5 linked regions of the Callithrix jacchus genome follow. The protein of the gene in region 1 binds, or shares a complex with, the protein of each later gene. Links are inferred from orthologs where the notes say so. Each region holds a gene or a part of one and is shown in the gene's direction. Other genes may lie near its edges.

Region 1 (3,686 bases):
GGTGGACCTTAAGTCAGGGCTGGAAAGTTTGCTTGCTATAGTCTCTGTCATTCTCTATTAGTTATATGTGGCCCTTTGTTCAGATACATGTAGTAACCTTACTGACCCCGGTAGGCATTTGGGTTTTCATCCTCTGAGGATGGTCTCTGAGGCCCTTTCCAGGTCTACATTTCTGTCTAAATTTGTCAGAAAGAGTCCTTGGGCTGTGAGTGCCCCAGTAGTGAAGTGGAATCCTCATTTCTCTTTGTCTTCGCCCATCGGCAGAATATGGCTTTCTTATGTTACTTAAAGCGTTGTACCCCATCCCCAACCCTGAATAATTCCCCTCCATTTTCCCAGCCTCCTCCCCAGAGTCACTGCACAACTATGGCATCATCCAGGCACAGGAGAGCTCAATGGGCTCATGAGTCTCTAAACCTTCCTCTTTGTCTGACTCCTGGCTCTTCTGGAAGATGGTGTGTGTGTGTGTGTGTGTGTGTGTGTGTGTGTGTGTGTGTGTGTGTGTATGTGTGTGTGTGTGTGAAGGCATTTAAAAATAGGTAAAAATTTCCACATTAGCCCAATGTCAAAAAAAAAAATTAATGGGGTATGATTTTATAGATAGACTAATGTAGACAGTTGGACCTGGGAAGCTCTATAAACCATCCCCCAAGGCTGTAGAAGAGTGAATGCATTAGTCCCAGAAAAATTAGTCACACCCAGCAGGATGTGTCCACTGCATTCAGGGAAAGATAAACGTTTTGAGCATAAGTATCTCTGACTGGATTTGTGTACACAGAAATCTCTGTAGATGTATTTTTAAGCACTTAAAACACAGGACTTAATATTGATTGCTTAGTGTTTAAATTAAAAACAGGTTGTGTTTTGCTGGCTGTGCAGAGTAAAAACTTGGTCCCTGGTGACTTGATTATTTCACCATAAACAAGCTGCTTTTCTTGGCTTGATGCCTGAGTCCAGCAGAGGCAGGGAACAGCGAGGTTGCTATAGCAGTAATGAAGTCTCTCTTGGGTACTTTAAAGGGGATTCTGGCTCACAGTGGTAAGGAAAGAATATATAATTAGAGAGGCAAAATTGTATGTAACAGCATAGTCTGATTATTTTAGAATTCAGTCTTTTACCTGTATTACCAAGTGAGATTTCTTTTAGTGTTATACAAATGGGATGGGCACTGCCATGGGCCTTCACACAGGTTTTGCATTGCCTAGAATCCTCCCGCCTTTCTGGCCTGACCAGCTCTGCTCATCCCAGGTTTGAGGTCTCCTGTAACCCTGAACACTAATTGACACTCTGTGCCCCTCTCCGCTTCCACCTCACTGTTTGCTGTCTATGGTGAAACTCTCCTACCTCATTGGAACTGCTGGCTTTGGGTCTGCATCTGCTTCACTCAGCCTCTGGGTGTCTGGTAGCTGGTTTAGGGCTGGGAACTTTCCATATGGGTGAGGGTCAGAAGGCTTTAATACGTGATTTCATAGAGTCCATGCTGAAACCACTAGCTTCTTACCTTTCTGGTCCTTTATTGTTATAATAAAATGATTACTATAATGTTTACTTATCTCGCATACATATTAAGGATTTGTTTGTATTAAGCCAAAACTCTCAGAAATGTCCTACTAAATACTTTGGTGTTTTTAGGTTGGCTAATGCTGAATCCTGTTAGTTTTGTTAAGGTTATTGGGCATTAAATATCAAGAAGCCAAAAAGGAGAAAAAAGTTTTTTTCTTGAAAAATACCAAATAAAGGAGGTAACCTACTACTTTTGAGCCAATAATTTTTCTTTTTCTTCAGTACAGTGATCTCTAAAGTTTATAACAAAGCTTTGACGTATATGTCTTTTAAGTCAATCCAGAGAGGATTATATATGTCTTTTAAGTCATTCCGAAAAGGTTATTGTGCTTACATTGTGGTTTTTATGTTGAAAAGTATCATAGCTCATTCTAAAGCTGTGAAACTAAAGGTGGTGTGTATGATGAAAGCTCTCTGTAACCCAGACTGCTTCATTCCCTAGGGCTCTCCGCTTCCTGGGCCTGGCAGACAAGCGTATTTATTATATGCTTGAAGATAAGACAGTTAATTATTATTGGCTGAGGTTCACATTACCATCACTCTCCTGTTTCTCTTTGGCTAAAGATGGCTTCTGTTAGAAACTCTTGGGAAATCCCATCACACACGCTGACAAATCCAGGTCCTAGTGCTGGTCTGGTTCATTACATGTTTCTGGAGGCAGGAAAGGTGGCAGATGCCATTCTTGCCTCATCTCAGTGACTTTCTGTCAAGCAGCTGGCTTTTCCAGCATTCTACAGGGAAACTGGAATAAAGCCTTGCCTCTTTGCTTTTTGCGCTTAGACTCACCCAGTTTTTTTGTTTCTGTTTTGTATAGTTCAGCCAATGCTACCCCTGAGTTTGAAGGTCGAGGAGGTGATGACCTTGGCACAGAGATCGCTAACACCCTCTATCGGATATTTAACAATAAGAGCAGTGTTGACCTGAAGACCCTCTGCATTAGTGCTCGGGAGCACTGCTGGGTTCTCTATGTGGATGTGCTGGTGAGTATCACCTTGCTGTCTGGCCATATTCTACCTATGTTGGAGACTAGTTGGCCTACTTTCCTTCTAGTGCTTTTTTCCTCTTCAGGTGAGTGATTTCAACTTATAGGGTGAGATTAGTTGGGAAAATGTGGTCTCCTATAATATTTTTTTAAAAAATTAAATACAACATAGATATAAGCAGCATATATATAATGCCATTCTATAGTAAAATTATAGTAATATCATGGTAGCACCTAAAATTGCCCATAAAAGTTGTCAGGGAAGAATGAAACGAGATGGTCTCTGAATGGTGCCAGACAGAGTTGGGGGGCAGAATTTAGACAGGTCGGTACATTGTGTGTGGAAGGATGATCAGCTCTTTACGTGCATTTTCATTTAAACCTTCTTAACCTGTTGCAAAAGGACAGTATTATATTCCCCATTTATAAGTTAGGAAACTAAGACACAGAGAGGTTAAGTAACTAGCCCAAGAGGTCTCAGCTTTCTGGTAGTGCTGTTGGATATCAAAGTCAGGTCTGTATGATGTGAATACCTTCTTTGACCTCACTGTGCCATTGCTTTTTAAACAGCTTTTTAAACCTGCTTGCCCCTGGTTTGCTGGGTGAGGCCACAGAGGCCCTGCTTCCTCCCACACAGAGCCCACTCCCTTAGGGATCTTTTTAGTCCAGCCCTTCCTTTCCTCCCTTGTACTTTGCCTCCCAAATACTCCTCTACCCATGTTTTGGCACTCAATAGTAACTTCTCTGTGTAGCTCTAATTAATTGTTTTGTTGTTGTTGTTTTTGAGATGGAGTCTTGCTCTGTCGCTCAGGCTGGAGTGCATTGGCGTGATCTCGGCCTACTGCAACCTCTGCTTCCTAGGTTCAAGTGATTTCATGCCTCAGCCTCCCAAGTAGCTGGGATTACAGGTGTGTGTCACCATGCCCAGCTAATTTTCATATTATTAGTAGAGATGGGGTTTTATCATGTTGCCCAGGCTTGTCTGGAGCTTCTGACCTCAAGTGATCTGCCAAGCTTAATTTTGCTTTTATATAATACTATAGCAGTTGGTTGCCTGTTTATGTACAGGCTCTTGTTGGGTCTGTTTTCTTCCTTTTTGTTAAATTTTGTGAGCCTTGAGATTAGCAACTACATCTTACAC
Region 2 (4,130 bases), on another chromosome or scaffold:
GCCTGTGTCAAGTCCCCCAGGTCAGAACTGCCTACGACCTTTCACACCAGGGGGGCAGTGTAGGTCTTAAGCTTATTCCTGAGGCCTGTGTGTTCACAATCGGCATTTGAAACTAGACACCTGTTGCCCTTTACCCCGGCCTTCTCATTGGTGAAGATGTCTGGTTGATACTTGGCTTTGCCACTCTGTCCTTTCCTGGCTGTGGCTATGACTTCCCCCTTTACCAGCTGTTAAGCGTGTCTCGGCTGCCAGCATCACCACCCTGGGCAGGAGTGGGGGATGGCTCCTGCATTTCTTTTCCTCCATTCCTCATTTATCTTGTGTCCTAACTCCCCCTTCCCTTCTTTTCTTCCAGAATGCAGCCAATAGGGGCCTAAAAGCCAGCGAGTGGGTGCAGCAGGTATCAGGCCTGATGGATGGTAAGGGTGGTGGCAAGGATGTGTCTGCGCAGGCCACAGGCAAGAACGTTGGCTGCCTGCAGGAGGCGCTGCAGCTGGCCACTTCCTTTGCCCAGCTGCACCTCGGGGATGTGAAGAACTGAGGTGGGGAAGGAGGAGTTTGGCACTGGATCCATAGGTCCAGCCAGGAGTTCCTCCTCTGCTCTAAGAACATTAGAATCTTGGGACCTTTAAAGAGCTCCCACCATCTTCCTAACCCCACGGTAACTGGAAGAGGTCCTGTGACCCAGTATTCCTTATATGTCTGCCCTGAGTACCCCAGCATTGCTGTTGTGCATCGATAGGCATCTGGAGCGGACAGCTCTCCAGACCTGAGCTGTCTGGGTTAGCAAATGGGAATCATTTTCGCTGCAGAGAATAAAGGACCATGTGCAATAATTGACGCCGCAGGATCTCTACCCATTCCCAATGGGGGCGCGCCGTTTCCACAGCCTGTGGCCCCTGCTGTCTAGAATAAATGCTGTGACTCCTGCTGGCTGCTGCTGTATTCACTGTCTAGCCCCAGAACTCTGAATTTTGGGAGTAGCCCCTGTGGTTGCCTCAACCGTTTGTGGCGATGGAAGCCAAATAGGTGACATAGAGGGAGGTGTTCATAATTCAACAGAAAATGAGGGGTGGAAGCAGAGAAGCCTCTTTCTTCTAACTGCCGCCCCCCGCCCCCGTTGTATGTATGAACGCCACATGCCCTGCACTAGCGGCACCAAGGCTTTGAGGACGCCGGCCGTTCTCCCTCCAGGCCTTCAGAGGGCGCTATAGCGAAGCCGGCTGCTCCCCGACATCCTTCGCGCAGGCGCGCATCTTTAAGCAGCGGAAGAGCTGGTGTGCGTGGTGGAGCAGCGGCCGGAAGCAGGTCGCACGCCAGGCGCCGTGATGCCTGGGGACCACCGCCGTATACGCGGCCCGGAGGAATCACAGCCGCCGCAGCTGTACGCGGCCGACGAAGAGGATGCGCCCGCCGCTCGCGACCCGACGCGGCTGCGACCCGTGTACGCTCGCGCGGGGTTGCTGAGCCAAGCCAAGGGCTCAGCCTACCTGGAGGCAGGAGGCACCAAGGTGTTGTGCGCGGTGTCGGGCCCGCGCCAGGCCGAGGGCGGCGAGCGCGGGGGCGGCCCGGCCGGAGCGGGTGGCGAGGCCCCGGCCGCGCTGCGTGGTCGACTGCTCTGCGATTTCCGCCGCGCCCCCTTCGCGGGGCGCCGGCGCCGCGCTCCCCAGGGCGGCGGTGAGGAGCGTGAGCTGGCGCTGGCGCTGCAGGAGGCGCTGGAGCCAGCGGTGCGCCTGGGCCGATACCCGCGTGCACAGCTCGAGGTGTCTGCGCTGCTGCTGGAGGACGGGGGCTCAGCCCTGGCCGCCGCGCTCACCGCCGCTGCGCTCGCCCTGGCCGATGCGGGCGTGGAGATGTACGACCTGGTGGTGGGCTGCGGCCTGAGCCTCGCTCCGGGGCCCGCGTCCACCTGGCTACTGGACCCCACGCGGCTCGAGGAGGAGCGCGCCGCCGCCGGTCTCACTGTGGCACTCATGCCCGTCCTGAATCAGGTGGCTGGGCTGCTGGGTAGCGGGGAGGGTGGCCTGACCGAGAGCTGGGCGGAGGCCGTACGCCTTGGCCTCGAGGGCTGCCAGCGCCTCTATCCAGTGTTGCAGCAGTGCCTGGTGCGGGCTGCCCGTCGCAGGGGCGCCGCCCCGCCCTGAACAACGACGGACGCCACGCCGAGACCCGTGCCGTGGGCCTCGAGCCTGCATCGAGATATGCAGCAGGAGCCCCGGAGAGCACCTGGAGAGGCTGAAACAGAGCCGAGGCGCCAGACAGCTGTGGTGGTGGAAGGGCTTTTTACAAACCTCATTAAAGGAACTTTCCTCCTTTAGCCGGCTCTCAGCTGCGACCCAGTTGAGAACACCTGTGAGCGCAGCCTGACTTCCAGGCTGGAAACTTGGAACTTACCTGGAAGCTGGTATCTGGGAACTGTAGTCATTTAAGGGATAGATCCTTTGCACCGCCAGCCAGAGACTCCCTCTGACGTAACTGGGCGACTTTTGAGAGGTTGGACAAGAGGCTGTGCCTTCTCACCGTGTCTGAGCCAAAAGAAAAACACTTCTATATCTGAAAAGCGTCTTCTGTTGTGATTCTTCTTGGTCCAGGATTTTAGAGAGCACGGCTTCTTTGTTCTTACATCCCAGGTGGCAAGGGGCCGTGACCGCGGTGCCTTTAACCGGTCCCGTTCCTTAGACCAACTTGAACGGGACAGATAGGCTGCAAAGAACAGCTGCAGGACTGGATGTGGGCCCTGTGCTTTATAGAAGGAGAAGCTGCCCCCACACGAACCAGAGACAGGACAGCTGCTGAGATATGACAAAAGTAGGAAGAGTTGTATGGCCCCAGCGGCGCGCTGAGTGCACCCCAGCCCCCCACCCTGGTTTGGTACTGGGCAAGACCCAACTCGGCTGGGTAGCTGGAATGGGTTTTGCTCTGGGTGGAAGCCAGATCTGTCCTTGGCCATGTGGAGAACGGCACAACCAGAGGCCTCCACAGCCGGTGGGAAGTGGTGTCCTGGGCCGTCTTCACGTGGTGCCTTGGTCCTAGGAGGAAAACCCTGAGCAACGCCCAGAGAGGGCAGGTGAACTGCCAGGAAAGCCAGGTACGGCTTGGCTGCTCCATAGGGCAGAACCGGCCTGACTCACCACGAGGGTGGGGTCTTTCCTGTGTGGCTCCCAGATCTGCTGGTCTGGTCTCAAGGCTGCTCTGGACGCAGCCAGGTGACTGCCATTGAGAAGGCAGGGCAGCCTGGTCCGGTCTCTGCACTCGGCTTCTCGGGGAAGGGCCGGTGCCGGGCAGCCCAAGGACCAGAATGAGTTTCTGGAGCCACACCAAGAAGCCTTGACCAGGAAAAAGATTTATGAATTTTATTTTTTCCCTTTTGACTTACCTTTCCAGAGCAGGTCTGAAATGGTATCACACCAGTGGAGACAGCTCATGTTATTCTGAAGGATGGCTTTGGAGAGTGGATGACGAGTCTGGAGCCCCAAGAGGGTGGTGTGGGGTGTACGCCGAGGACCTTCCGGCTGTTTCGGGCAGGGAGGGAGACTGGGATCCCAGGGAAATCTGTTGGCTGTTGGTGCATCCAGAGGGGAGTGAAGAGCAGCTGTGGCCGTGTCTGCACTCAGGACTGAGGATTGCCCCTGAGTGCTGGGGTGGGGTGGGGGTGGGCTGTCAGCTGTCCCTTGGAAGACAGCCTCAGCTTCATGAGGATGGCGACCTGGTACAGTCCCAGGCTACCTCCCTCCTAACGCTGTCAGTCCCATGGCTGTCATCGTGAAATGTAACCTCCTAAGAAGCTAAACCTGCTGCAACAGTGAACCTTCCGCTTTTCTGGCCAAGCCCTGTGTTCTCTTCTATTGACCCAGCTCCAGAACGGGTATCTCAGGTTGCATGGGTGCTACCAGGAGGCCTTCACAACCTAGGCAAGGCAAGGACCTACCCCAGAACGCCCGGAGCTGATGAGCCTGGAGGAGATCCTGCTTCCTCTTGGCTGTCCTGGTCCTATGCGTGGTCCTCCACCTGTAGGGAAAGTAGAAGCAGGACGTTAGTGGAGGGGCAGGAGGCATGGGCTAGGAAAGGAGGGGCCCACAGCACCTAGTCTTTCTGCACCCACTTTCCATTTCCCCAGAGCTTTGGCACCT
Region 3 (4,330 bases), on another chromosome or scaffold:
CTAGCTGGCTAAACAGTGGGCGCTTTCACAGCACTGGAGCTGCCGCACGGCCGAGGTGCCCTCCAGCAGCCCTTCCTAGGCGTGACAGAGGGCTTAGAGCATCTTGCCTTAGTGTCATTCATTTCACAATGTCACCCCAGGTTCACACTTCCGACCTGATAGGCATTAGTAAAAGAATTAAGATCACCTATAAATAACTAAGATCACCTATGAATAACTAATAACTACTATGGTTATATTTCTAGTTACTTTCTTCTTCATTATTTATATGGAAATAGGCTGAGGTATTTCGCTCCTGCCTTGGCGGTCATAGATCCCCATCCCTTAAGCCTGGGCAGACTTGTCTGACTGACTTGACCCCAGAGTCTGGCAAGAGTGGCACTATATGACTTCTGAGCTAGGTCATAAAAATACCACACACGTCGCCCACCTTGTTGTCTTGGAAGGCTACCCTTGGAACCCAACTGCCATACTGCAAGGAAGCCTCGGTTGCATGTAGAAGCCACATGTAGGTGTGCTGCCTAACAGCCACACGTGAGGTCCTGGCCCGCCACCAGCATCAGTCACCGAAGATATGAGGGAGAAAACTTTGAGGATGGCTCCAGCCCCAGCCACCATCTAGCAGGAACTGCAGGAGAGATCCTAAATGCAAACTACCTAGCTGAGCCTAGGTAACACCAGACTGCAGAACATCATAAAATAATCATGTTATTCGAAGCCACTGAGGTTAGGTGGCAAGAGATAAACAGACATACAACGCCTCTTTGGAAAGGATGAGGAATCAGCATCCTCAAAGGGAAACGGGAGGCCCACTTGACTGCAGTGTGGGAGCTCGGTGTAACGGAGGGCAAGGGAGGAATGGAGGTGCCAGGTGTGGACCATGCTGGGACACCAGCCCGGTCACCTTCCTAGGACCCCTCAATGCCTTCTCTTCTCCTGTCAGTCAATGCTGCAACCACTAAGTTCATCCTTCCACTTTCACACTTACAGTGCGGGGAAGGCTGAATAATGCAGGCACCATTGGTCCCGAGGGCGTGGCTTCGGAATTCCTCCTTCAGCGGGCGCCCACTTCTTGGCACCCGTGGCACAGCTCCGGGAACGGCCGCGGGCCTAGCCCCCGCTTCCCCGACAGAGCCGCTGCAGCTCCCCGGAGACAGAAGCAGAGCCGGACCGCCGAAAACCGTAGATCCTGGGAGGTCGGGGCCGCGGGTAGCTGTAGTTTCCCGGGACCGGAAGTGGCAACGGACCGCCGGAAATCTTAGATCCGGGGACCTCGGGGCGGCGGTTAGCTGTAGTTTCCCGGGACCAGAAGTGGCAACGGACCGCCGAAAACCATAGATCCGGGGAAGTCGGGGCCGCGGGGAGTTGCAGTTCCGCGGACCCGGAAGTGACAGAGGACCACCGGAAACCGTAGATCCGGGGAAGTCGTAGCCGCCTGGAGCTCTAGTTCTCCAGTTCTCCAGCGGCTCAGAGAACTAAGCCGAGAGGGAGTTGGCGGCCGGGCGGAATGGCGGGGCTGGAGCTCTTATCGGACCAGGGCTACCGGGTGGACGGGCGGCGCGCCGGGGAGCTGCGCAAAATCCAGGCGCGGATGGGCGTGTTCGCGCAGGCTGACGGCTCGGCCTACATCGAGCAGGGCAACACCAAGGCGCTGGCGGTGGTCTACGGCCCGCACGAGGCGAGTGGGAGGGGAAATCGTGCGGTCGCGGAGCCGCAGGGCAGCCGGGCTGAGCACAGGCTCAGGGACTTGAGGGGCAACGGCCGGCGCGCCTCCGACCACACAGCCGATGCTCAGCACCGCATGTCACTCGGAGTAAACGCAAGTCCTTAGTGCACTGAGCGGTGGTCCTGCCTTTCTCATCGGCTTGTCCCTGCGCCCTCCCTTCTCTTTGCGGCTCTTCAGCTCCCCCACTCGCCCCGTCACCTCTCAGCTCTACTCCGACGTCACTCCTCCCCAGACAACCTTATCCACGCGGTACTTCCCCTCCCTACAATAAACCCTTCCTTGTCTTTTGTGCACCTACGATCTCAAACGCCTGTTTTGCTTAAGCACGTTCACCTTTGTTTCCTTGCTGGAACATAAGCTTCCTAAAGACAGGAACTTTACATGAAACTCTATGGTTTCACTGCGGTTCCCAGCGCTGTAACAGTGCCTGGCCAGCAAAGGTATTGAAAATGTGCTTAGCGCATGGCTGTGGGAGCTCTGCTTTCTAGGCGCAGGGAAGCACGAGGGCGAAGACCACGGGGGTGAAAACAAGCATAGCACTTAGGCAGAGCAGAAAGACTGCTGGTGGGGAAAGGGGGTAACTCCAAATTAAAGTAGAGTGTTTCCGGGGAGGTGAGGACTTGGGATTTTGTAGACCAGGGAAAGGATTTGGGATTTTATTTCACATGTAATGTAACGCCTTCGTAAGTTAATTAGGATTTGAGTGTGTACGTGAGATAGAATCAGCCTTGATGTTTGTAAACTTGGGCTGGAAGGGAATGGGACAAGGATGGACACAAAGCAGCCAACTAAAAGATGCATGCCAGGAGGAAAAACGAGCAAAACAGGGGGCTTTGTTTTGGAGGTAAAGTAGTTGCCTCTTGCTGAGGCCTTGAAAGTGAAAGGAGAGGCAGACCCCCAGAGTACAGTGGAGTGTGAGCTGGAAGAAGTGGGCCTGGCTCATGTGTCCATCTTCTTCCAGATCCGGGGCTCGCGGGCTCGAGCCCTGCCAGACAGGGCCCTAGTGAACTGTCAATATAGTTCAGCGACCTTCAGCACCGGTGAGCGCAAGCGACGGCCACATGGGGACCGTAAGTCCTGTGAGATGGGCCTACAACTCCGCCAGACTTTCGAAGCAGCCATCCTCACACAGCTGCACCCACGCTCCCAGATTGATATCTATGTGCAGGTGAGCCGGCTGCAGCCTGCAATCCAGGGAGGGAAGAGTGTGATGGGATTGAGGAGGGAGTCTGATGAACTGACACCCTGGGGTCCTCGCAGGTGCTACAGGCAGATGGTGGGACTTACGCAGCGTGTGTGAATGCAGCCACGCTGGCAGTGCTGGATGCTGGCATACCCATGAGAGACTTTGTGTGTGCGTGCTCAGCTGGCTTCGTGGACGGCACAGCCCTGGCAGACCTCAGCCATGTGGAGGAAGCAGCTGGTGGCCCCCAGCTGGCCCTGGCCCTGCTGCCAGCTTCAGGCCAGATTGCGCTGCTTGAGATGGATGCCCGGCTGCATGAGGACCACCTGGAGCAGGTGTTGGAGGCTGCTGCCCAGGCTGCTCAAGATGTGCACATCCTCTTGGACCGAGTTGTCCGGCAGCATGTGCGTGAGGCCTCTATCTTGCTGGGGGATTGACCACCCTGCCACCCATGTCCAGAATAAAACCCTCCTCCGCCCACACACTCCTCACTGTACTTTGATCACCCAACAGCACTTTGGAGCTATGTGAAGCCCTGCAGAGCCTGGCCTGGTACTGGCTACTGGGAATGACCAGGGACCCTCTTATATAGAGAACTGTCTATCTCTGTATATCCTGATTGAAACCCTGAAGAGAACAGTGGATTAGGGGGTTGAGGAGAGATAGTTCCTGGGTGGAAAAAGCAGCATGTCCCAGTAAGGACTCAAGGCAGCTGAGTAAGAGGCAGGGCCTGGCAAGATGAGCCAGGCCATTAGACTGAGGAATCTATTCTTACTCCAGCACATCGGGAGCCCTGAGCAAAGGGCTGAGGAAAAACTCAGCTGGCTCTGGGTACCCACCCTAGAGATGTGGGTAGCCATGTCCCACAGCCTGTGGACTATGGCTTGGAACCCCTTGGGCTTTTCCTGCTGCTTACCCTGGACTCTAAAAGTACAAAAGCCAGGCATAGTGGCTTACACCTGTAATCCCAGAATTTTGGGAAGCTGAGGCAGATGGATTGCTTCAGGTCAGGAATTTGAGACTAGCCTGGCCAACATGGCAAAATCCCATCTCTACTGCAAATACAAAAATTAGCTGAGGTGGTAACACACACCTGTATAATCCCAGCTACTTGGGAGGCAGAGGCAGGAAAATCTCTTGAACCTGGGAAGTGGAGGTTGCAGTGAGCCGAGATCGTGCCACTGCACTCCAGCCTGGGCAATAGGGCAAGACTCCATCTAAAAAAATAAAAGTACAAAAAACGTGTTCTCATGGATCAGTAGAGGTCAGGAGTTCGAGACCAGCCTAGCCAACATGGTGAAACCCCATCTCTACCAAAGATATAAAAATTAGTGTGATAGTGGGCACCTGTAGCCCCAGGTACTTGGGAGCCTGAGGCAAGAGAATTGCTTGAACTGGGAGGCCAAACCCCACACCAGAGG
Region 4 (4,165 bases), on another chromosome or scaffold:
AAACCCAAAACAAAACAGAAAAAAAAAAAAAAAACAGAGTACTTAAATATCAAGGGACCTGGTTACACTCCGAATGGGGAGGCATAGGCCAGAGGCACTGGAAAGGGGAGCAGCCTCGACTGCTTTGGCTCCAAACCCGCAAGCCTGACAGAGAACCGGGCGTAATCCACCTCGCGATCAGCAGGGAAACACAAGCGCCGGCGGAGGGCAAAGCCTCCTCCTTATTCCCCAATCGTTGCACTTTTCCCACTTTTATAACCAGAGAGGAAGCACGAGTTGCTCGAAAATGTGAACCGTGACCCATGGGACCCTAGGACCAACCCGCGCGCCCTCGAGGGCTTGAAGCCGGGTTTCAAACACTCGTTCGCGGCTTCGGGCTCCCACCTAACAGCGGACGAATTCCCGCCGCCCAGCACCGGCTGCTAGCTCTCGGCAGGGCGCAAGACCCCGAGGCGGCGAAGCACCGACGCAGCTGCGCACGGCCAGGTAAGCTGGCTGCGGTTCCTCGCGCCCCGCCCGCTGTGGGCGTGTCAGGGTGGGTGGTGCTCAGGAGTGGCCCAGCCCCGGCCCTCGGGTCGCGAGAAAACTTTCCATCCCGGCCTCAGCTGTTTCATCTGCTGACCTGCTAGAGCGCTACGCCGCGCGTCATGTGCGGCCTCTGCTAGCTCTGATCCGAGTTTCTTCCAAAGACTTCACTACCGACGTGGGGTGAATGAAGGACAGTTCAGAGAACATTTCCCCACCTGCCTCTTTGCCTGGCCCGAATGTGAGGTCCTTGAGCGCCCTTCAGCCGTGCTGTTGATCCTGCCAACACTGAGGCAGGCAGGGTCACCCAATACTTCTGGAGTGGGGAAGAGAAAAGCACAATTAATACTGTCTCTGCCACAGGAGCTCCCATTTTTGCCAGGGAAACTAACCTGGAAGTGGGAGCCCCTTTTATTTGTTGGCCTTCTATTACACCTAGCGGGGAAAATGGCTTGCCAAATTTGGAGGGTGTGTTGAAGATGATCTGTCTCAATCCTAAAAAACATAAAAGTTCGGCCGGGCGCGGTGGCTCACGCCTGTAAGATAGATGGCTGGCTACAGCCACCTCGGACGGGCACCTGTGAGCTGACGGCAACGAAGCTTCATAAACTGGTCAACTCAACCGACCACTACTGCCGGAACCGGAAAGTCATCAAGGGCGGGTGCGGAAGCGGAAGGCGAATACCGGAAACGGTGTTTGCGGGCGTCCGCAATGGCTGAAGGTGTATCAGTAGTTGCTGAATCTCTCGCGGGCGGCGGGGCGCGCGTTGCGCGCTCAGTACTAGGTCAGGTGGTGCTCCCGGGTGAGGAGCTGCTCCTGCCGGAACAGGAGGACGCGGAAGGCCCTGGCGGTGCAGGGGAGCGACCGTTGAGCCTGAATGCTGGAGCTTGCTCGCGGGTGCGCGTTATTTGCGGCCCGGGCTTGCGGCGCTGTGGGGACCGCCTGCTGGTCACCAAGTGCGGCCGCCTCCGTCACAAAGAGCCCGGCGGTGGCGGCGGCGGCGGCGGCGGCGTTTACTGGGTGGACTCTCAGCAGAAGCGGGTAAGCTGGGACTCCGGAGTGGTAGCCCTGCTTTAAGAAGACCTCCCAAAAGAAGAAAGGATGGGACACTGAAGCCCTCCTTGTTCAGGCACCTAGAGCCCCTAGTACCACCGTAGTCTTGTGCCCACTTTTCATGTCCTTTAGAGGGTCCGTGAACAATAGGAACATACCCTGAGAAGGGCGACCAGGAGAGAAAAACGTTTGGAGACCGTTAGTCATGATTATAGTCTTCAAAACCCCAAAGGTCAGGGAGCAGCAGACTTTCCCTTTGGAGTCTCAGAGGGCAGGACCAGGCTGAATGAGTGGATGTCAAGGGGAGTTAATTTCTCCTAGGACAGATAAGAACTTTCATACAGAAAAAAAAATGTCTAACTATGGAATGGGCTTCCTTGGTTGTAAGGATTCCTTTGCCACTGGATTTATGCTACAAAGCTAGGGACTTACTCTTTGGGGTGCTGAAGAAATACGGGGTTTGGGCTCAATTAACAGACTACCAGAAGCTGCAAACCCGACACTTTATGTGATTTTCTTTTACCAAAAGCGGCATACGATCAAATTTCTTTCTCTTTAATGACAATAAGGTAACCACAAAAGACTTGCTGAAGGTATCTTCCAATGGTATGTTGTTATTTATGACTGTTTTCTCATTCTGTTTCCTTTTGTAGTATGTTCCAGTGAAAGGAGACCATGTGATTGGCATAGTGACAGCTAAATCTGGAGATATATTCAAAGTTGATGTTGGAGGGAGTGAGCCGGCTTCTTTGTCTTACTTGTCATTTGAAGGTGCAACTAAAAGAAACAGACCAAATGTGCAGGTAATGATGGGAGCCTTTGGTTTCAAAGCAAGAAAAACATCCATTCCCTTGAAGGACTCATATCTCCAGAAGGCTACCTGAATTGTCTCCAAAGCATGACCTAGATTTCTGTGCATGCAATTGCCCCAGGCTCCAAGAGTTTCTTCAGATGCTCCAGGACCAGAGCCACATACTTACTTTACATTGACTACATTGTTCTTAGCATGTTTCATTTCTACTGAGTTATCTGTCATCTCTGTTATGTGTTATGTCCACATCCTCTGGACAAGGAAGTCTTCTGTAGGCTTAGAGGAGGGAAAAGTAGTGCGCATTTTGGCATTATCAGCTATCCATCCATCCTGGCTGTAGATCCTAGGAGCTGAGAGAGGAGTGATATTATTGCCTTGGGTTTTCAGATTGGGCTTTTCAGGTAGCATAGCCACACTCTTGTCTACCCCAGCCCGACATTTAGTGATTTCTTTGCTGCTTCTCATTCACTTCTCATGCATATTTAGTTGCCTAACCCTATTTTGATCCTATTTGATTCCATCTCTGATCTTTGGTATGTCCATCCCTTTATCTCCACTTTGCAAGTTCAGGCTTTAGCTCCGTCTTGACTGGACTCAGTCACATTAATCCTTGCCTCCACATTTTTACCTTACCATCCAGGGTTTTGAGAGCAGACATCCTCACAGTCACTTTCTGGAAAAGAAAAAACAAGATTATCCAAAATCTACAGAATTCCTTGGCATTACACTTCAGGTGTCTTTTCCTTATCCCTAATTATATCCTTCATGCAGCCCTACTTGAATCACACCAAAAACCACTAAACTCAATTTCCTGCCCTTATTTCTTTGCACATGCTGTTCCCTCTGGATTGCACTATTCCTTCTCAGCCTGTGGAACACATTCTCATCTTTTAGACCTAGGCTAAACACAACCACCTCTCTAAAGCCATCCCCAGTTGTCACTTTTCTCCTATCTTTTCTCTAGCACTTACTGGATTTAGTATATGTACCTCCCAACTGCCCTCCAAGACCAAATGCTTCTGAAAATCGGAGAATGTTTTCTTCCTCTATAGTTTACATAGTCACCAACAAACAGTAGGTACTTAACACATTTTGTTGAGTAAACCGAGTTCACTCTCCATTTCCTCAGTTTCATCACTTTAAAGTTTAGCTCTATGAGGTTTTTAAGTAATCTTGCAGGGAGAAGTGTCAGTGAATTATTTTGTTTTGCTTTGAATAATTCGCATGCTGTGAGTTCCTTCCTCTCTCTGTAAATCTGTAATTCTCTAGGGTGGTGTCACCTAATACATCTTTCCATAGTGATGCTGTTTTATGTCTCTACTGATTAGTATGATAGCCACTAGCTGTTGAGCACCTGAAATGTGGCTAATGCAACTCAGGAAATTAATTTTAAGTATCTAATTTTAATTAAATGTGAGTTCAGATAATTAGCTACCTACCATATTGGACAGTGCAACCCTAGAGGTGTTCTCTGGCCTTCAGATGGCTCTTCCTCTGTGATTTCCTGGTTGGTGAAAGGGAATGATACATGCGTTCCTTTTTTTCACAAGACTCAACTCCAAAGTGACTGTAGAAATCCTGTAGTGTAGTCAGTCCCTTAGCCACAGAACTGTAGGTGGCTGGCATTGATGGCTGTGGGAAAGAACCAATAGCAGCACCTGTAGAGTAGTTTGCTGAGAGGTAATGAACTGGTTTTTAATATCATTATAGGTTGGAGATCTCATCTATGGCCAATTTGTGGTTGCTAATAAAGACATGGAACCAGAGATGGTCTG
Region 5 (4,356 bases), on another chromosome or scaffold:
TCTGTTGCCCAAGGCTACTCAAGTGGAAAGTCGCATAGCAAGGACGTGAACCCACCCACTTAACCACTACTCTGTCAACTGCAGTTCAAAGCTCTTCTGCAAGCTACTGCCTCCCCCACCCCAAAGAGGGGTTTCTAATTACGTTATCTGCAGGGTAATCTTGCCCATAGCAGCATACACCTGATGGGACTGTGACTCTTTTGGCAAGAAACAAAGCCTTCTCAAGCGTTTCTAAGAAATGTGGGCAAAGTGTCCTGTCTGCACCTCTCTCTTCTTCTTCCCCCCTCATTAATTCAACAAATACTAATCATTTCCTCTGTAGTGTGTCCAGAACACACGAATTCCCTGTCTTGATATTCGAACAGAAGACACAGGAATGAAACAAATCTTTTACACATTTCATTTTAAAATCAGAATTGTGGCAAAGGAGCAAAGAACTACAGGGCCCTATGCAGCCTGTGACAGGGACCTGCTCTCTTCTTTCTCCTTCTTGAAGAGGGATCTTTGCCCAGAAGAAAGTCTCTCCCTTACAAAGTCAGTTGCATTCTCCAAACCCTGAGAGAAAAAGGTCTTGCGGTCCCTCCAAGGAGCCCTGAATAGGGGAAGACAGCGGATAAGGAACTCCATCCTTCTCAAGTCGTCTTTCTCCCTCAGGGCCCACAAAGAAGTTGCAATCAGGTTCTTTTCCTCTCCTAAGGAAGTGGCAGAGCTTCCCTTCGGTGTCTTCTCCAAGAGGTCTCCCACGTTTTCCCTTCTGGGACAGCCCTTCCTTCATATCTTTCAGGGACCCCACACTCTGAAGATAGCCTTTACATCCCTATTCCCCTTTGGGAAGACGTCCTGGAGACCAGGTACTCACAGATATAGCCAGTCCCCGAGCCCCAGGCCGCCGCAGCAGCAGGAGGAGGGCAGCCTGGCCCAGGATTCGGCTTTGCCTCCAAACCCTCGCCGCAGCGATTGCTACCGCCATCTTAGCTAACAACCATTTAGCGGTCCGGCCCTCTTGTAGGCTGGACTCCGGGCTCCCCCTTTATATGCCTGACGCAAACTCCAGGACCATCTGACACGGAAACCACCTTTTTTCCTTCCTGTGGTAGACAGAATGCACAGAGATTTGGAAAAGAAAATCTATCTGTCCACAGTTTTCTACAATTGCCTCACTGTAGTTATTCCTGCAACAGGCAAAAATAAAGGGCAACCTGACCAAGGCCCCAGGGATTTAGGGGCCCGGTGTTCAGAGTAAAACAGGACCAGGCCAAGGCCCGCCTCCTGTTCTCAACTGCCCAATGGTGTTGCCAGAGTTAGGAGGTGGGTCAGGGCGGAGCCAAATTGTTGGTAAACGCTAAGCCACGTGCGGACGCCGGGGCTGACTGCCCAGCCCAACGCGTGCGCACTGGTTACGCACCCTGTACGCAGCGCGCGCGGTCGGGCGGAAGTGACAATCGCAGCCGCACGTGGAGTCTGGCGTGATGGAGGAGGAGAGGCATACTGAAGCCAAAATTGGCGCTGAAACTGGAAGAGGGTCCAGCCCTCGGGGTCCCGGCTGCAGCCTCCGGCACTTTGCCTGCGAACAGAACCTGCTGTCGAGGCCAGATGGCTCTGCTTCTTTCCTACAAGGTAAGAACTTCACGCTGGTCTTTCTTTCAGAGAGAGACTACAGTGCAACTGAGTGTCCACCTCCCCACGTTACCAGCTGGTAAATGTCACTCCTGCACTGATGCAGGATTTCTTGTCCGGTTGAATACTACTACATACGCAGCGATACACACATCTCTCCCTCACGACTAGAAAGGAGAAGATAGCTCCATCCTGGCAAATATCTCTGAGAAACAGAAGAGGGGCAGACCGTCCCCCCAAGAATGGATATTTCAGAATAGGAAAAATCACCTCACCAGAGTAAATATCCCCCTTAACTAGATTCGTCCTCCGCCTCTCACACACACACTCTAGGTCCATGCATCCCGGACTGACGCAAACCTATCTATTTGCAAATACTCTGGACTGTGACGGATCTTTCACCCACATAAATACTCGCCACTGCCACCTCACTGCATCTCTCCACAGGAGTAAATATCCCTAAGGTTAGAGCAAGTCTTACCTATAGGGTAAATATGCCCTTCCCCTAGCTAAATAACACTCAATACTAGATTAACTCCAAGAACATTTTTCTTTAAAATTTGACATGGGAGGCCGGGCGCAGTGGCTTCACGCCTGTAATCTCAGCACTTTGGGAGGCCGAGGCGGGTGGATCACCTGAGGTAGGGAGTTCAAGACCAGTCTGGCCTACATACAAAACCCCATCTTTACTAAAAATACAAAAATTAGCTGGGTGTGGTGGTGGGTGCCTGTGATCCCAGCTACTCAGGAGGCTGAGAGCAGCTGCAGTAAGGGGGAGGATGGTTAGCTTTCAGGAAGGACTTCCTGTTAAAAGTTACTAATATCAGGGCCAGGTATGGTGGCTCACACCTGTAATCCCAGCACTTTGGGATTACAAGTGCCCAGTAGTTCAAGACCCTCCTGAGCAACATGGCAAAATCCCCTCTCTACTAAAAATACTAAAATTAGGCCGGCACAGTGGCTCACACCTGTAATCCCAGCATTTTGGGAGGCCAAGGTGGGCAAATCACCTGAGGTCAGGAGTTCAAGACCAGCCCTGGCCAACATGGTGAAACCCCATCTCTATTAAAAATTTTTTTAAAAAGCCGGGAATGAAGACTGTACTTTCAGGGATCATTTCTATAGTGTGTTACTAAAAAGCCGGGAATGGTAGCATGTGCCTGTAGTTCCAGCTACTCTGGAGGCTGAGGGGGTAGGATTGCTTGAGCCCAAAAGGTTGAGGCTGCAATCAACCATGATGGCACCACTGCACTCCAGCCTGGGCCAGGAGAGTGAGACCCTGCCTGAATGCCTTAATGGATGACTATTACTAATATCAGCTAAAGTCAGTTGCACACTCAGCATGAGCCCCACAATGTCTGAAGTGTTCTCTGTGAATTGAGTCCTTTGACCCTTACCGGACGCTAGAGGGGAGGGACTGCTGTTGTCCCCATTTTACAAATGAGGATTCGCAGGCAGAAAAGTGAAGTGAGTGCTCCAAGAATCACTGCCAACAAATGGCGGGGGTGGCGTGGGGAGCCCTGGCCATCAGGCTCAATGCCACTAATGGGGCCCCAGAAGCCGCTGTGAGTGAGGCCTCCCCTGCTGTCTCCCCAGGTGACACCTCTGTCCTGGCGGGTGTGTACGGGCCGGCCGAGGTGAAGGTCAGCAAAGAGATCTTCAACAAGGCCACACTCGAAGTGATCCTGAGGCCGAAGATCGGGCTGCCTGGTAATGGGCACTGCTGAACCTCCGAAGAGTGCCCAGTTTGTCAGAACCGCTCCCTGGCTCCTCCCTGCCAGCTGCCCCCAGTCTCCACTCCACTGTTTCTTTAACTCTCTGTCCCTGTGTCTCATCTTCTGTTGCTTCTCTGTCTGCCTCTAATTTCTCCCTCCGTCTCTCTTTCTCCCTATCTCTGCCTTTATCTCCCTTTCATTCCATTAACCCGTTTTTCTTTTTCTTTTTCTTTTTTTTTCAGATGGTGTCCTGCTCTGTTGCCCAGGCTGGAGTGCAGTGGCGCGATGTCGGCTCACTGCAACCTCCGCCTCCCAGGTTCAAGCGATTCCCTTACCTCGGCCTCCTGAGTAGCTGGGATTACAGGCAACTGCCACCACCCCCAGCTAATTTTTTTGTATTTTTAGTAGAGGCAGAGTTTCACCATGTTGGCTAGGCTGGTGTCAAACTCCTGACCTCAGGTGATCTGCTCGCCTCGGCCTCCCAAAGTACTGGGATTACAGGTGTGAGCCACTGCGCCTGGCCCTTTTTAATTTATTTTTTATTTTTTTGAGATGGAGTCTTGCTCTGTTGCCCAGGCTGGAGTGTAGTGGTGCGATCTTGGCTCACTGCAACCTCCACCTCCTGGGTTCAAACTGTTCTGTCTTAGCCATCCAAGTAGCTGGGATTACAGGCATAAGCCACCACACCCAGCTAATTTTTCTATTTTTAGTAGAGACAGCGTTTCACCATGTTGGCCAGGCTAGTCTTGAACTCCTGATCAGGTGATCCACCCGCCTCAGCCTACCAAAGTGCTGGGATTACAGGCATGAGCCACAGAGCCCACCTTTTTTTTTTTTTTTTTTGAGATGGAGTCACTCTTGTCACCCAGGCTGGAGTGTAATAGTGTGATCTCAACCCACTGCAACCTCCACCTCCCAGGTTCAAGCCATTCTCCTATCTTAGCCTCTCGAGTAGCTGGGATTACAGGCACACACCACCATGCCCAGCTAATTTTTGTAATTTTAGTAGAGACGGGATTTTGCC

What was found.
Region 2: EXOSC7 (region 1) and EXOSC6 share a complex: the UniProt entries of both Homo sapiens proteins name them as parts of the RNA exosome core complex. The link is inferred for Callithrix jacchus from reciprocal best matches to the Homo sapiens genes EXOSC7 and EXOSC6.
Region 3: EXOSC7 (region 1) and EXOSC4 share a complex: the UniProt entries of both Homo sapiens proteins name them as parts of the RNA exosome core complex. The link is inferred for Callithrix jacchus from reciprocal best matches to the Homo sapiens genes EXOSC7 and EXOSC4.
Region 4: EXOSC7 (region 1) and EXOSC3 share a complex: the UniProt entries of both Homo sapiens proteins name them as parts of the RNA exosome core complex. The link is inferred for Callithrix jacchus from reciprocal best matches to the Homo sapiens genes EXOSC7 and EXOSC3.
Region 5: EXOSC7 (region 1) and EXOSC5 share a complex: the UniProt entries of both Homo sapiens proteins name them as parts of the RNA exosome core complex. The link is inferred for Callithrix jacchus from reciprocal best matches to the Homo sapiens genes EXOSC7 and EXOSC5.

Annotation. Positions count from the first base shown.
Region 1 is NC_133516.1:27,738,168-27,741,853, forward strand, and holds part of EXOSC7 (exosome complex component RRP42), read left to right. Parts: intron 1-2,377; coding exon 2,378-2,543; intron 2,544-3,686. UniProt on the Homo sapiens protein: Non-catalytic component of the RNA exosome complex which has 3'->5' exoribonuclease activity and participates in a multitude of cellular RNA processing and degradation events.
Region 2 is NC_133521.1:31,651,625-31,655,754, forward strand, and holds EXOSC6 (exosome complex component MTR3), read left to right. Parts: upstream 1-1,283; 5' UTR 1,284-1,328; coding exon 1,329-2,144; 3' UTR 2,145-3,807; downstream 3,808-4,130. Other genes in the region: AARS1 (alanine--tRNA ligase, cytoplasmic), read left to right, coding at 1-20, 356-541. UniProt on the Homo sapiens protein: Non-catalytic component of the RNA exosome complex which has 3'->5' exoribonuclease activity and participates in a multitude of cellular RNA processing and degradation events.
Region 3 is NC_133517.1:53,542,154-53,546,483, reverse strand, and holds the start of EXOSC4 (exosome complex component RRP41), read left to right. Parts: upstream 1-1,392; 5' UTR 1,393-1,507; coding exon 1,508-1,678; intron 1,679-2,687; coding exon 2,688-2,894; intron 2,895-2,986; coding exon 2,987-3,313; coding exon of another isoform or gene 3,314-3,346; exon of another isoform or gene 3,347-3,389; intron 3,390-4,330. UniProt on the Homo sapiens protein: Non-catalytic component of the RNA exosome complex which has 3'->5' exoribonuclease activity and participates in a multitude of cellular RNA processing and degradation events.
Region 4 is NC_133502.1:144,772,598-144,776,762, reverse strand, and holds the start of EXOSC3 (exosome complex component RRP40), read left to right. Parts: upstream 1-1,217; 5' UTR 1,218-1,237; coding exon 1,238-1,567; intron 1,568-2,232; coding exon 2,233-2,382; intron 2,383-4,100; coding exon 4,101-4,165. UniProt on the Homo sapiens protein: Non-catalytic component of the RNA exosome complex which has 3'->5' exoribonuclease activity and participates in a multitude of cellular RNA processing and degradation events.
Region 5 is NC_133523.1:36,667,794-36,672,149, reverse strand, and holds the start of EXOSC5 (exosome complex component RRP46), read left to right. Parts: upstream 1-1,434; 5' UTR 1,435-1,469; coding exon 1,470-1,617; intron 1,618-2,711; exon of another isoform or gene 2,712-2,904; intron 2,905-3,213; coding exon 3,214-3,327; intron 3,328-3,574; exon of another isoform or gene 3,575-3,617; coding exon of another isoform or gene 3,618-3,648; exon of another isoform or gene 3,649-4,356. Other genes in the region: BCKDHA (2-oxoisovalerate dehydrogenase subunit alpha, mitochondrial), read right to left, coding at 860-970. UniProt on the Homo sapiens protein: Non-catalytic component of the RNA exosome complex which has 3'->5' exoribonuclease activity and participates in a multitude of cellular RNA processing and degradation events.